2 linked regions of the Drosophila melanogaster genome follow. Changing the gene in region 2 together with the main gene of any one other region gives a genetic interaction. Each region holds a gene or a part of one and is shown on either strand. Other genes may lie near its edges.

Evidence for each region. Genes that interact genetically often act in the same process or in processes that back each other up.
Region 1: of daw (region 2) and tok, changing one enhances a phenotype caused by changing the other (phenotypic enhancement), as found in Drosophila melanogaster (one study listed by BioGRID).

The regions. Positions count from the first base shown.
Region 1 is NT_033777.3:24,717,904-24,722,713, forward strand, and holds the start of tok (tolkin), read left to right. Parts: upstream 1-1,793; 5' UTR 1,794-1,836; intron 1,837-2,153; exon of another isoform or gene 2,154-2,317; intron 2,318-4,810. Other genes in the region: Polr2L (RNA polymerase II, I and III subunit L), read left to right, coding at 1-1; CG13630 (uncharacterized protein), read right to left, coding at 127-359, 418-1,155, 1,225-1,378.
Region 2 is NT_033779.5:2,803,410-2,811,513, forward strand, and holds the start of daw (dawdle), read left to right. Parts: upstream 1-1,851; 5' UTR 1,852-2,192; intron 2,193-4,912; exon of another isoform or gene 4,913-5,127; intron 5,128-5,570; 5' UTR 5,571-5,901; coding exon 5,902-6,844; intron 6,845-6,958; coding exon 6,959-7,234; intron 7,235-7,739; coding exon 7,740-8,104.

The DNA of each region.
Region 1 (4,810 bases), on a different chromosome or scaffold from region 2:
AACGGCACAATGGAAACCATCCAAACTGGACTTGGGAATAAAAACTCTAGATTTTATTGTAAAATTACAAATTAAAGCTTGATCGATAGCCCTAGAAGTTATGTATTAGCCCAAGTTGGTCGACCCTCACATCTTGTCCATGAACCACGGCTGTCCGTTGTTCTCGCGACGCTTGGTGAGAATCTCGCATCCGGTTTCGTTGACCAGCAGTGTCTGCTCAAACTGGGCGGAGTACAGGCCATCGGCGGTCACAGCAGTCCAGTCATCTGGCCAGGTTTCAGCCTTCTGGACGCCAACGGAGATCATGGGCTCGATGGTGAAGCAGTGGCCAGGGGCCATTACTCCTACGGCAGAGTTTTCTGCAAAGTAAGGACATTAATAATATTCAAAGTACTTTTAGCCAGCTCGAAAACTTACTGGCATAGTGAGGCACATTGGGAGCTGTGTGGAAAACACGGTGAATGCCATGACCGCAATAGCTGCGCACCACGCTGAATCCATGTGGTGCCACATACTTTTGGATCACGTTGCCAATATCGCGATACTTTTCACCCGGACGCACGAACTCAATGGCCTTGCTGAGCGCCTCGTGGGTGACCTGCACCAGTTTCTTGTGCTTCTCCGAGACATTGCCCACAAAGAAGGTCTCGTTGAGATCACCATGGAAGCCGCGATGATAGACGGTCACATCGATGTTACATAGATCTCCATCCTGTAGAGGACGCTGATCGGGGATGCCGTGGCAAATCACCTCGTTGACCGATGTGCAACAGGACTTGGGGAAGTTGTAGTAGTTGAGGGGCGACGGATAGCACTCCCGTTCGATGGCGGCCTCGTGGACCAAACGATCCAGTTCGTCGGTGGTGATGCCCACCTCCACGGCTTTGGCACCCTCATCCAAGCATTCTCGACCCAATCTGCCGGCCACTCGCATGCCCTCGATCTCCTCGTCGTCCAGCACCTTAATCTTGGTGCCCCGCAGTGCTTCCTCCGAGAGTGAACGTCCTGCTGGATGATCGGCGTAATCTGGACGTTGTATGGCGTTCGGAACTGTTCGCTTGGGAGTCTGTGGGAACGGGCGGAGCTTGCCGGTGAAGCGGAAATGTGGCCATGGATTGTAGGCTCCATCCTGTTCGGCAGAGTTCGAGGCACCGGCTGAGTCAAGAGAATTATATGGTTTCATTGCAATCCAACTCATTAGGAACAAGACTTTCTAAAACTGACCTGCTAAAGCATGAATCGCCTTGTGCTCCTTCCAGAATCCTTTGAAGCACGGCTGCGAGCAGAAAAATGAGCCCTTGATGCCCAACTTTAGGCAGGTGGGACACTGCAGGGTCGCATCCTTGCCGCAGTTGGTTGTCTCGCACTTTTGAGTCATTCTATTTCAACAATTAATGCGAGAAAAATTTCCGTGCCTGCCAAAAATAGTTTAACACAGCGTGACCGCACCGATAACGATAGAAAATACCTGGAAGCTTTAAAATAAATACCTTTTTATACCATTATATGACAATATATAAGCAATATGGCTTTTTGGGAAATTTGCCTTACGCTTCAAGCAAAATCATAATTCTATTGGTTTGATATTAAATACTGTTTTCTGATTAAACATTAAAAAAGTTGATATTAAATAAATACCAAATCAATGTTTAAGAATGGCGCTACATCGATATCCGATGTTTTCCAAGCACCGATAGCCTGGGACCAGTTCTGTTCTTATCGATACGTTTGTGCCAGGGTTGTTCGTCGCCGGCTGTAACGGGCATTAGTTTAAAATTGGAAATAACTTGATAACCATTTTATGTGTATTTAACCATTTAAAATGTTACTATTATGGTAAGTGATTCGTAAATAGTATTCATATGATAATTAACATAAGAAAAGAGTTAATAAGGGCTTTCCTTACAAATGGTTTAAAATCGTTCGAAATTTGAAAGTAAACAAATTAAATATGTAAGTTCTTCGCGGAGATCTTTGATCTGGCTAAGGGACACTGGCCCCGTGAATTCGTGGCCTTTGTTTTCGTCCGTCGGGGCGGCAGTTCAAACGCAGCCGCCTGTTGGGCACTTTTCCGCAGTTGTTCTCGGCGCATGCTCTTGGTGGGAACAGTTTGGACTTGGACTCGGTTTATCTGTCTGCTCTGTTTATGTTCTCAAATCGCGAGCAACTTCGGTCGTGAACGGACGTGCTTTCGCTGTAAACTCGGAATCGGTGTCGCGAAACAAAAGAATATTGGCAACAAACTTGTTTGAGTCAAATGGCCAAACGCAAATATCCGCAAAGGGCAGCAGGATAAATTTATTGGCCAGTGAAGTGAGTGAGTGTCTTGTTTCGAATTGGTTTGGCCAAAAAAAAAAGAGGACCCCTTTAATATTTCTACCTGCAAGGGATGCTGAGATTTCGGCAGAGTTTCGCATCATTTGCGAGCGCAACTTAACTAACTCAACAAGTGAATTCAAGGGTTTTCGCTCCTCCAATTACTGATTTTGTCCTCGTGATCTTCGTACTCGATTGAAATTCGATTACGATCGTTTTGTGTGTGTGCATTGAAATCAGCGTTATCAGTGTCTGCCCTGATCTTTGGTTTTGCGTTGAACATGTTTATTATTATTCATTTCTCTGGTTTCCCGCGCCCAACGACAATAAGTTAAGTAAACACGCTGTTTTTGTTGAGGATGCTGCTGCTGCTGTCTGTTGTCGTTGCTGCTGTATATGTTGCTGCTGCATGTGTTACAGCTGTTTCCATAGTTGCTGTTGCTGCTGTCACATGTGTTGCTACTGTCTCTTGTGCTGCTGCTGTTTCCAAAGCGGCTGCTGATGTCAATGTTGCTGCTGCTATCGCGTATGTTGCTGCAACTTTTTTAGTTACCGCTGTTGCTGCAATCTCATATGTTGCTGCTGTTTCTATGGCTGAAGGTGTTGCTTCTTTGTTGCTGCTGTTGCTGCTGATAGGAGCGCAGCATTCGAATGGCTATAAATAAAAAACGGCACGCGGTGTGTGCAGCAGTGAGAATCCCCCGGCCCGTCTCCGCCGGATTTTCAGCACCACCAGCATCGCTTGATTATTATTGGTGGGTGTTCTGCGTTTTACGCGACCACACACAGGCACACTGCCACACACACACTATTATCTTCGCCGTGCGGTTTCCACTTTTCCGCTTTTCATTCCGTCGTTAAGACGCAGCACATATCTCGTCAATTGGCAATCTAAAGGCCGCCGGCATAATTAAAATAGAATCATTTCTGATTTCGCTTTGTGTCGCACAGACATGTGTGTCTTATTTTGTTTGTTTGTTTTTTCTTTTTTTTTTGCAATACGGAACAATTGCGAAAGTCAAGGTGGCCGCGAAAAGCCGCGAAATAGTAGGGAATTCCTATGCGATGGCAACGAACTCGATCTCTGTGTACCCAACTCATCTTGTCTGGCCTTTTATTGATTTATTTTTTCCCCGGCAGTCAGTCTACTCTTTTTTTATGTTCCCCTTTGTTTTGACCAACGATCCTCGATCTTCGACGGCAATTAAAGGCAGGCCAAAATGGTCCAGGAAGGCAGACATCAGCCTTAATTTGCTTTGGTTGCATTGCCTGCTCGTCTTCGGAACTTTTTCATATGCTGCGCAGTGCGTACTTTGTTTGTTTGTGTGCCAGCCGAATGGAAGCTGATGGAAATTTATGCGTAGAGAAAGGTGGAAGAATATGAAATGGAAAATATGAAATTTTTGAATTGAGTTTGTGGAGGAGTGGGGGGGGGGGGCTGGGGCGGTACACCTAACACTTCCGGTTGCCAGAATATCAACTTCCGGTGGCGTAGAATTGTTAGCGGGGAAATGCTTTGGCACAAAAGACGCATATTGATATTGTTGCCCAGGCTGCTTACGCTCCAATAAGCACACCCACACACACACATAGGCAGACATACAGACGGGAAGGTCCTTCGTCCTTGGGAGCCAGAAAACGCATTTCATTTTTGCTCCAGTGAGTTGGCCCTTGTCTGGCAAACGTTTTGTGGCAACTTGGCCATTAAGCATTTCGTGTTTAAGCAGCAGGATCTTTCCCTCGCCCTTCCCTCTCAGGACGAAGGACCAACAGGACAGTACAGCAAGGAATAAAAATTGCCCGCGTATGCATTTCTTAACAACATTTCTCCACCACCCTCCCCCTTCGCTCCCCAGCGACAACATTTCATTTCATATTTTGTGGCAGCAGCGCTTTGAATAGAATTCATTTGGATTCCCTTTCCCAGGACACCTCGTCCACTTCCTTTTGCCTTTGTCAGCCCCTGGGTTTCCGCATCCCACATCCCAGAACCCAGATCTTCCACATCCCTCATCTTCCTGGAACACGCACTTCAGACTGATAGCGCCTGCTTAACAAATTTCTGCTGTATTTTTCGGTTCTTGTTCTCCACTTTATTATATTCCGTCTTCTTCTTTTTTTGCCATGGCAATGGGGATTTTTCCGCATTTTTAGCTGTCGCAGCAGGGTAAAAATTAAAAGCGAATTAAGTTCGAGGAGCTGTGGAGGCATCTAAAAGGTATCTAAAAGGTGGACAGCCGAAGATAACTGCACTTGACGCCGGATAGACCACAGGCATTATTAAACCCCAAATTTACCTGCCAACCAGGCGGGGTGGCAAATCTGCAAAAGAGATTTGAGTTATTTTATGGATATTACTAAGTATTCTGTATCTGCTACAGCAGCCATGAATTGGGGGGCTTTTTGGAAAGGGTCTTTATTACACATAACAAAAAAATTTATAAAAATATAGGTCTCTATATTCTTCAAATGGCTCAATCATAGTTATTTACTA
Region 2 (8,104 bases):
TAATTAAATCGAAAGTCGTGGGTGTTATCAATGGTTATCAAAATGAATATATAAAAAACAGTGTATATTTGTGTTTTGTCTGGCTACTTTCCGGTTGTCAACAAGAAATCCTCTGTAATCAGAAGACTTTGTTCTGCTGGCCCTCTTCTTAACCTATTAAACCAGGAATAGTAGAAATAGATTCAAATCGTTTCAATAACTCTATTTTTTGAGTTCACATTCTTAGACTTTACTTTCCTGATCTGTAATTTGAATCAAATGCTCACTAGACAGTCATAGAATTTTCCTGATCAAATGCAAGGCCAAAGTCTAGACGAATAAGGCCATTTATAATCAAATGAAGCGATGAATAGTTCAGAAAATATTAGAATGAATCTTTAGATGTTTAAGGTAACTTTAAGCTTGCAGTTCAAACGTGTAACTAAAGTCATAGTACCCCTATCAAGGGTATAAGCATCATATATTGTTGACTTAATTATGACACCAAAACACTGTTTTAATTAAAAACTGAAATTCCAGAGGCCCGGCCACGATAAGCCGTGCATTGTGACGTGTTTTTCAGCACGCGCGCCACATTTAAAAATTAGACGTTTCGAGTGAGATTTTGCCTCGATCCTGAGTATACAAATCACGAAAGGTATATTGTGCGATTCCATCGCATTATATTTGAGGTGAATGCTTTATTGTGAAATCTCAAGGTAAACAAAACTCGGAACGGACTTAATCAGTCGATTGGCATGAGGTTTGAAAGTGAAACACAGCGATACGCAATCAGAGCCAGCATTTAATTAATATTAGCCATTTACATACTATTGTCCTCCGAGGTAATCTCAAGAGACCCATGCTCGACGGGCGTGAAAACTTCAAAATTATGATATCACACATGGTAATCAATTGAAGCAGCCAGCAAGTTAAAAACAAGAAACCCCAAACGTCGTAAAAGCCACATCGTAAATTGGTCAAGAGGAAAGCGATTAGCTGGCCAAGAGCTAAACAAAAACAGGAAGGCATACGTAGGGTGGAGTCTGAAATTGAGTATACTTAGTTCATTCGTTATATTACATCTAATTGTTCAGTCTTTTACACGACATTGTTTGCATATTCTTCGATGATACATATGTACTTTCTTCTAGCATTCATGGTTATACGTCAATTTTAGTCATACCTCTCGCTAGTACCGCTTATTAATAGACATTGGGCCATCAAAAGAAAGCGATGGTATCGCTTTGGCTGTGAGAACCAATCGCCATTAGGCAATGTCGGCTATCAGGGAAAGTCAAAGGCAATCCGCTGGACTGGACTGCCGCTGAACTTTGGACCGGTTGGATCGAGCGATAAAACCCCACCGGCACGACGTCAGCTCACGTTTTTGGGTGACGAATGCTGGGGCTCGATCCTCATTCCCAACAAGCTCGAACTCACGAACGGCCATCGAACATGTAGCGCCGGCCAGCGAACTTGTTCGATGCTCCAGCCTCGAGCGGCGTGGGTGTTCGATGCAGGAGGCGATCGGATGGGAGCCAACCGGACCTAAAACGCTGCTGTGTGGGCCAGGGGGGAAAGCCACCCATTATCAGTGGCTCTCCCTGCTCTCCCTCTCTCTCTCTCTGTCGCACTTGCTGGAAGCAAAGTAGAATTGCGCATCGCTTAAAACGCAGAGCAGCGGAGTGCGCCAATGATCGGCGGCGTGTCTGTTATCAAACAAACTGAAACTCAACTGTCTGCCGCCCGAAGAGTGGGCCATACCCATACCCATACCCATACCCAGGCCCATACTCACACCCATACCGCTCCCCACAGATACCGTTAGTCGTACCGCTCCAGGCTTTTGTGGCCGCTGCGCCGCCCATCGTCGAATTATTCACACGCAGACGTTCCCAACGATCGGATCGAAAATTATTCAAATCGTGCAAATCGTACATGAAACTTGGTGTGAACGAATAATACTTTATGTTTCTTCAAAACATTTGTTTTTGCTCAGCGAAATATCAGCTCGTCATTTTGAGGAAATCAAGTTCAAGTGGTGAAATTCAAAACAATAATGAGTTTGCGAAAGTGATTTGCGAAAACAAATAAACGGACAATCGATTGTAGAATCACTCAAGGACATTTGATAAGCATCCCTTTTCGCAGAAGATTGCAAACAATGTGCTAAGTTATTCAAGCATTTTGACAATGGATTATTAATTTGGGTGAGTTACATAACACAAGGGCTTATTGTGTAAGAAGTTTAAATAAAAGTGCCAAAAATGTGAATTATGGAATCAGCCTCAACATGGGATACTAGAAATTGTATATTTTTTTTAGCAGTCTAATGCTCAATATCAGTTATTACCAAATCGCAGGGAAGTTTCTAGTTTCGCTTTTGGAATATCATGCCGTAATTAAAAACTAATCATGCAGTGAATGGTTTATCGATCAGAGGCCTATCTATCACCGATTGATTGATTGATAGTTTTCGAGCCTATAACCCAGGCGCATAACCTCCAAAAGCTCTTGGCGAATTTCGGCCACGTCGAGAGTCATTGGCCAAATTTAGTTGCTACCAATGATGATCTTATTTAATCCTGCACTTGATTTATGGTAGCATCGCCGATGAGCGTGTGGCGAGAAAAGTATTATGGCAGATTAATTTGCGACGCTTCGGGCCTCTGGCTTCTGGCAATCGGGGCAATCTCCGTGAGCGGTTCCAAAGTCCAGATCGTGGCATGCTCCCAACCGCTGATCGGCGAGAACGGCGTGATCGCCGTGATTTATTGCCAAAAACCGATGGAAGCAGCCGTGTTTTTGTCGCAGTGCATTCAACTGCTGCGCGCGAAGAAGAAATGCAAGTGATAATTGCCGGCAATTACGATAGCCCCACTCCAAGTCCGAGTCCCAGCCCCACATCCAGTCCCAGCTGCCCCGTAATTAATGCGAAAATGATACGGGCAGGCCCATGGAAAACCCCCAAGCAGAGTCGCTTAGTCAAGAAGCCATCTCCATCAAGCGGCTGTACTTTGCACCTCCAATCGACGCATCGCCAGACCCCCAACTCCCCATTCACAGGCACAGCAGTTTTTTGCTCCGATTTGCATCGACATGGCAACCGCGGAGTCTTCACTACAGCTTTTGCTTCTGATCACGCGCTGGTGGCGTGCTCGATGACGTAGCCATGACTGCCGGGCGTTAAATGACCTTCTTCAACTTCTGTCCCCCTTCCCAGCGGCACCCCTTTTCCGCGGGCCCCCATCACATCGCAGTCGCACGCCTCGGCTTCGATTCCTGCCTTTGATAAGTCGGTCAGTCAAGTCAGTCATTAAGTCCAGTGCAGTGCGGACAGCTCGAGTTACGTCAAAAACGAAGAGTACGTACAAAACGTGTCACATGTCGCGTGTGTGCTACAATCCAAGCCCTGCTTCCTGATCCGATCCCCATCCATTCTATCAGATCCCATCCCATCCGATCTGATCCGTCATTATGTGGCCCCCAGTCGCTTTAATCGACGTCAGGTTGGTTGTGTTGGAAAAAACAAAATGGAGCAGATTTTGGAACGTGGCAATCTACGTAGGTTGTGGAAAAATATGCGATGAGTTGATAAGTGGTGCGACATATGCTGAAGGCCAGGACGTCATTTAAATTGGAAAAGGGCCACTGGAAAAGTGTAATACCTTATGTAACTTATGGGAACACGTAAAACTAAACTTAATTGTGCAAGTCAAAGGTGTCATAATCTAATATGAAATTGGGGAGTATGCAATACTTATAGTTGTTTATTGTATTATTTCCTAACAAGAACCCCTATTAATTTGCTTTTGCTTAAGCCGCACCAACAATGTTGCCAGAATTCGCTGAGGCCTACAAAATTTCTATCAATTAAACGGACCTTCTCCTCCGTATAGTATAGATCATTTCTATTCGTCTCGATGATCTAATTGGGTTCAGAAAAATCACAGTTCGTGACAAGCGAATCGGGCACGTGTTCAGCATTTAAGGCTAAATCGAATAGGCGGTATAATATAACTCGTGATCTGCCGGCCTTCAAAATACTTTTCTTGACCTTACTCGACTGCTTCACATTTAGCCGAGACCAGAAATTCTGGCTGATGAAATTCCCAACCGAAATACTCATGAATTTCCCATTCGCATTTAAATTGGAAAACAGACACACTATGTATTTGAAATGCGCATCTATTAACCGAATCCGATTAGGATTGCCCAGAATCGCATGCTAAGCGTACTTAATTGGTTAAATGCCGCACTACATATTCCATGCTCCCGATTTGTGGACCAAAAGTGGGAAACCGCCCCTTATCAGCAACGTGTTCACTATTAATTGATTGACACACAATCGAGTCGGATCATCAAAGTCAAGCTTGATAACGCTGCGGGGTAATTAGCATGAATGGGCCACTCGACTCGATTCGATTCGATTCGATTCGGTTTGAAGCGATCATAAATTCACTTGATATCAAAATGCCCCATTGTGGCCAAGCGAGTGCCAAAAATGCCAACAGATAGTGACGCCGCCAACTGGGGGCGTGGCATTGTCAGGGTGGCGGGAGGTTAAAAATAAAATTGCAATTAAGAATTTTATGCAATTCGGTGGCTTGGCGTTTTCAAGAAGCTGATGCAATGCTGCACCCCACTTGCATATCCAATTGTCTTCGGCTAAAGAGAGAGCGCCATGTAGCCATAACCATGGTCTATAGTCATAAATCGAGACCCGAACCGCTCGGCTTGGATCCGAGTCCGCAACCGATACGAAACGATCCGTCAGATACGATGCGATTCGAGTGGTTCGGATTGTTTCGGTTCGGTTCGGTTCGGTTCGGCTGGCGCTCGCGGAACGATCAATCAAACGCTCGGCGATCGTCACATAAATTGTTCTACTAATCAGCCAACCGCTTCATTCATTCACAACTCGTTTGCGCTGCCGCATGTCGGAAGAGAAAGAAGCACCATACTATATCATAGACCATACCACAAGTGGAATACTATATAGACGCGCGATCCCAGCTATAGCTAAAGGCCCGTGCCACTCGTGTTTCGTGTCCGGGTTCAAAGTTAATGCCGCAACCCCCGCCGGATTCATCCGGCTGAGCAGATTCAGATCCCATTGGAGCAAATCGGAGTGTGCTCACCACGGTACGTGTGGGGTCCACGTCCACCTAATTGCCATCTAATTGAGCCCGCTTATCAGCGGATCTGCGCAACTACGCTTTCGATTTGAGTCGCACTTGGGGCAAATAGCCCATGTGATAATGTGAAATTGAATACTGAACTAAACTAAATCTTCCCGGAATTAATGTCAAAAAAACGATTTGCACTTTGCCACCTGCCAATTCGAGCTCAACGATATGGAATAAATGATGCAATTTGGTGCAAAAATTAAGCGAGACTTCGGGCTTAGTGAGTGATAGTGATAAATGCACCTGATCCGCTGGCATATTAAATTGCATTTTAATTGGGGCAGCGCGTTCGCAAATATTTATGAGAAAATTTAGGGCATAGCTGTTTTAATTTATTTGATTAATAATCGGAATGTGCTTACAATATTAACTAAGTTACAAATTTCTTCTTATTTGCAGACGAAACTTAACGAAAAGTTTAAAATATTGAACATGCATCATTCAAGCGTATAAGTCGTTGTTATATAAAATCATAAAAAACGCATAAACGTTTTAAAAGTGCTTAAACAAGGCTATAAAACGGCAACAATAAGTGAAACCAGCTGCAATTCTATGAGTTTTGTAAACCTGAAAGCCGGAAAAATTGATGTTTTAATGCTGCCAAACAGATAGCAATCAGCCCCAGCCGACAAAACAAGAGTGAAACCAAAGGCGATCCAGAAGATCATAAGATACATATAAAATATCTCACAGTTAAAAAAAAAGAGAAGTCATAAGTACATATTCAGAAATGGCCAAGTACTTTATAGCCCTGGTGTTGCTGGTGTGTCTGGCCCTGGAGAACAGGAACGTATACAATCGCCTGCACGCCCGCTCCCATCCGAGTTCCCGTGGCGACATCCTTCGTCCGCATCCTAAGCACCAGCCGCATCCCCATGTGCAGCACACCTCGCAACAGCTGCAGCAGCAACACCATATCCGGCAGCAACGATCCCGTCAGCTGAAACACCTGGAACCGGATCCGACCAGCGAGGAGGACGATGTACCGATCACCAAGCGGGAGTACTATGCCCGCCTGAGGCGCCACGTCATCCACAAGAGGCAGCACCTCCTGCAGCAGGAGCTCAGCTACAACCATCCCGGCTCCCATTCGGAGCAGCTAAAGGTGCCCCGCCTGTGGCAACACCTCATGGAGCAGGAGGAGAAGGCACACCGACATGTGAGCCCGCCCGTGGAGTTGCCTATCATGTACGGAGATGCCCCCGAGGAGTCATCCCTCTCCTCCGATGATCACTTTGATGATCTGTCGCCGCTGGACTTTGTGCGCAACGAACTGATGGCCGAGGACCAGCAGAATCAGGAGAAGGATCTCGATCTCGATCTGGACCTAGATCAGCAGCCGGAAACGCCCATAGAGCCAGAGCTCCCATTGGGTGAGAGGAACATCACCATTTCGGTGAAGTCCAGCGCCGGAGGATGCCCCAAGTGCGAGAGCAATCGCCAAGTGGAGCACATCACCGAGGAGCAGCTGACCCACTTACGCATCGAGTTCGTTAAGCAGCAGATCCTGGAGAAGCTGCGCCTCAAGGAGAGCCCCAAGGTGTCGGCCGTGGAGCTGCCCAAGCCCATCTTCGACGGGATGACACTCTCCCATCCGGACGATAGCACCAAGAACAAGGAGCTGGACGATTACTACGCTCGCACTAGCAAGAAGTTCATACTGCTCAATAGAGGTAAGCAAATCTAGATTTAAGCACTAGAAAGTAAAGATTGAAGCTTAACTTCAAAGGGAATCCTTTTACCATTCTGATTTTGCTAACACAACCCTTTATCCTTTATTTTTACAGAGGAGGTCGAGTGCAACCGAGCGAGAGATGGAAAATCCAATCCGTCCATGTGCTTCACCTTCAAGATAGACGACGCAGATGCCGAGGGCTTCGACGTGAGCACCGCCGTCCTGTGGCTCTTCAAGAACAAACAGAACCGCACCGACACGGCATCGGTGAACAGCACCAGTGCCCAGCAGACGATCGTAGTCTCCGAGGTGGAGGTGGATCAGCAGAAGGACTCCAAGTATTTGTCGGCGGCCAAGACCATAGCCATCCAGTCGGTGAATGTGCAAGGTGGGTACACATAGTATACATTAGTATAGCATAAACACTCATCCCCCCAGAGCGTAATCATGCCCAGAAAAGAATCGCACACGTTTGGACCTTTGGTCGGCAGCCGCGGAACGGCCAAAACTGACCCTCAATACCCTCGGGGGACAAATCAAAATATGTGACATGTCTATACTAGATGGGTATTATAAAAATTATAAAGAACGCCGATAAGTGCCAACGTTGACAACCGCTTGTTTGTGTTTTCAATTAGACAGATCATTGCGCAGATTCGTGATAGCACTGCTTGATAGCTCGGCTCGAATCTGAAATTCATGTGGGTGAATAACTTGACAAAGCATTATTCGTGGGTGCAAAAACTGAACTTTGGCCACAACCCAGCACAGTTGTGAGTTCCTGGGGTCAGTTACCAGATAAGAAAGATGGGATCTACGATTCTGGGAGAAGAGAAGATGGCTCTGTGGAACCCCCAACTAACCGCTCTGCCTTTCCTTTCGCATACTTTCAGATGAGTGGATGAAGATCGACATTGAGTGGCCCATCAAACACTGGATCAGTGGCCACGAGCTGAGCCACCTCATCCAAATCACCTGCGGTGGCTGCGATGTCAGCGACATGGAGGAGATCATTTCGGTGGACAAGGATTACCGGCCATTCATCGTGATCGACATGCAGAACAGGCGGCGCAAGAGTCGCCAGAAGCGCAGCATCAACTGCTCCAGCGGAATGACCGAGTGCTGTCGGGAGCACCTGTACATATCATTCCGGGACATCGGCTGGAGCAACTGGATCCTGAAGCCGGAGGGCTACAATGCCTACTTCTGTCGCGGATCCTGTAGCTCGGTGGCGAGTGTTACGCAAGCGGCCTCCCAC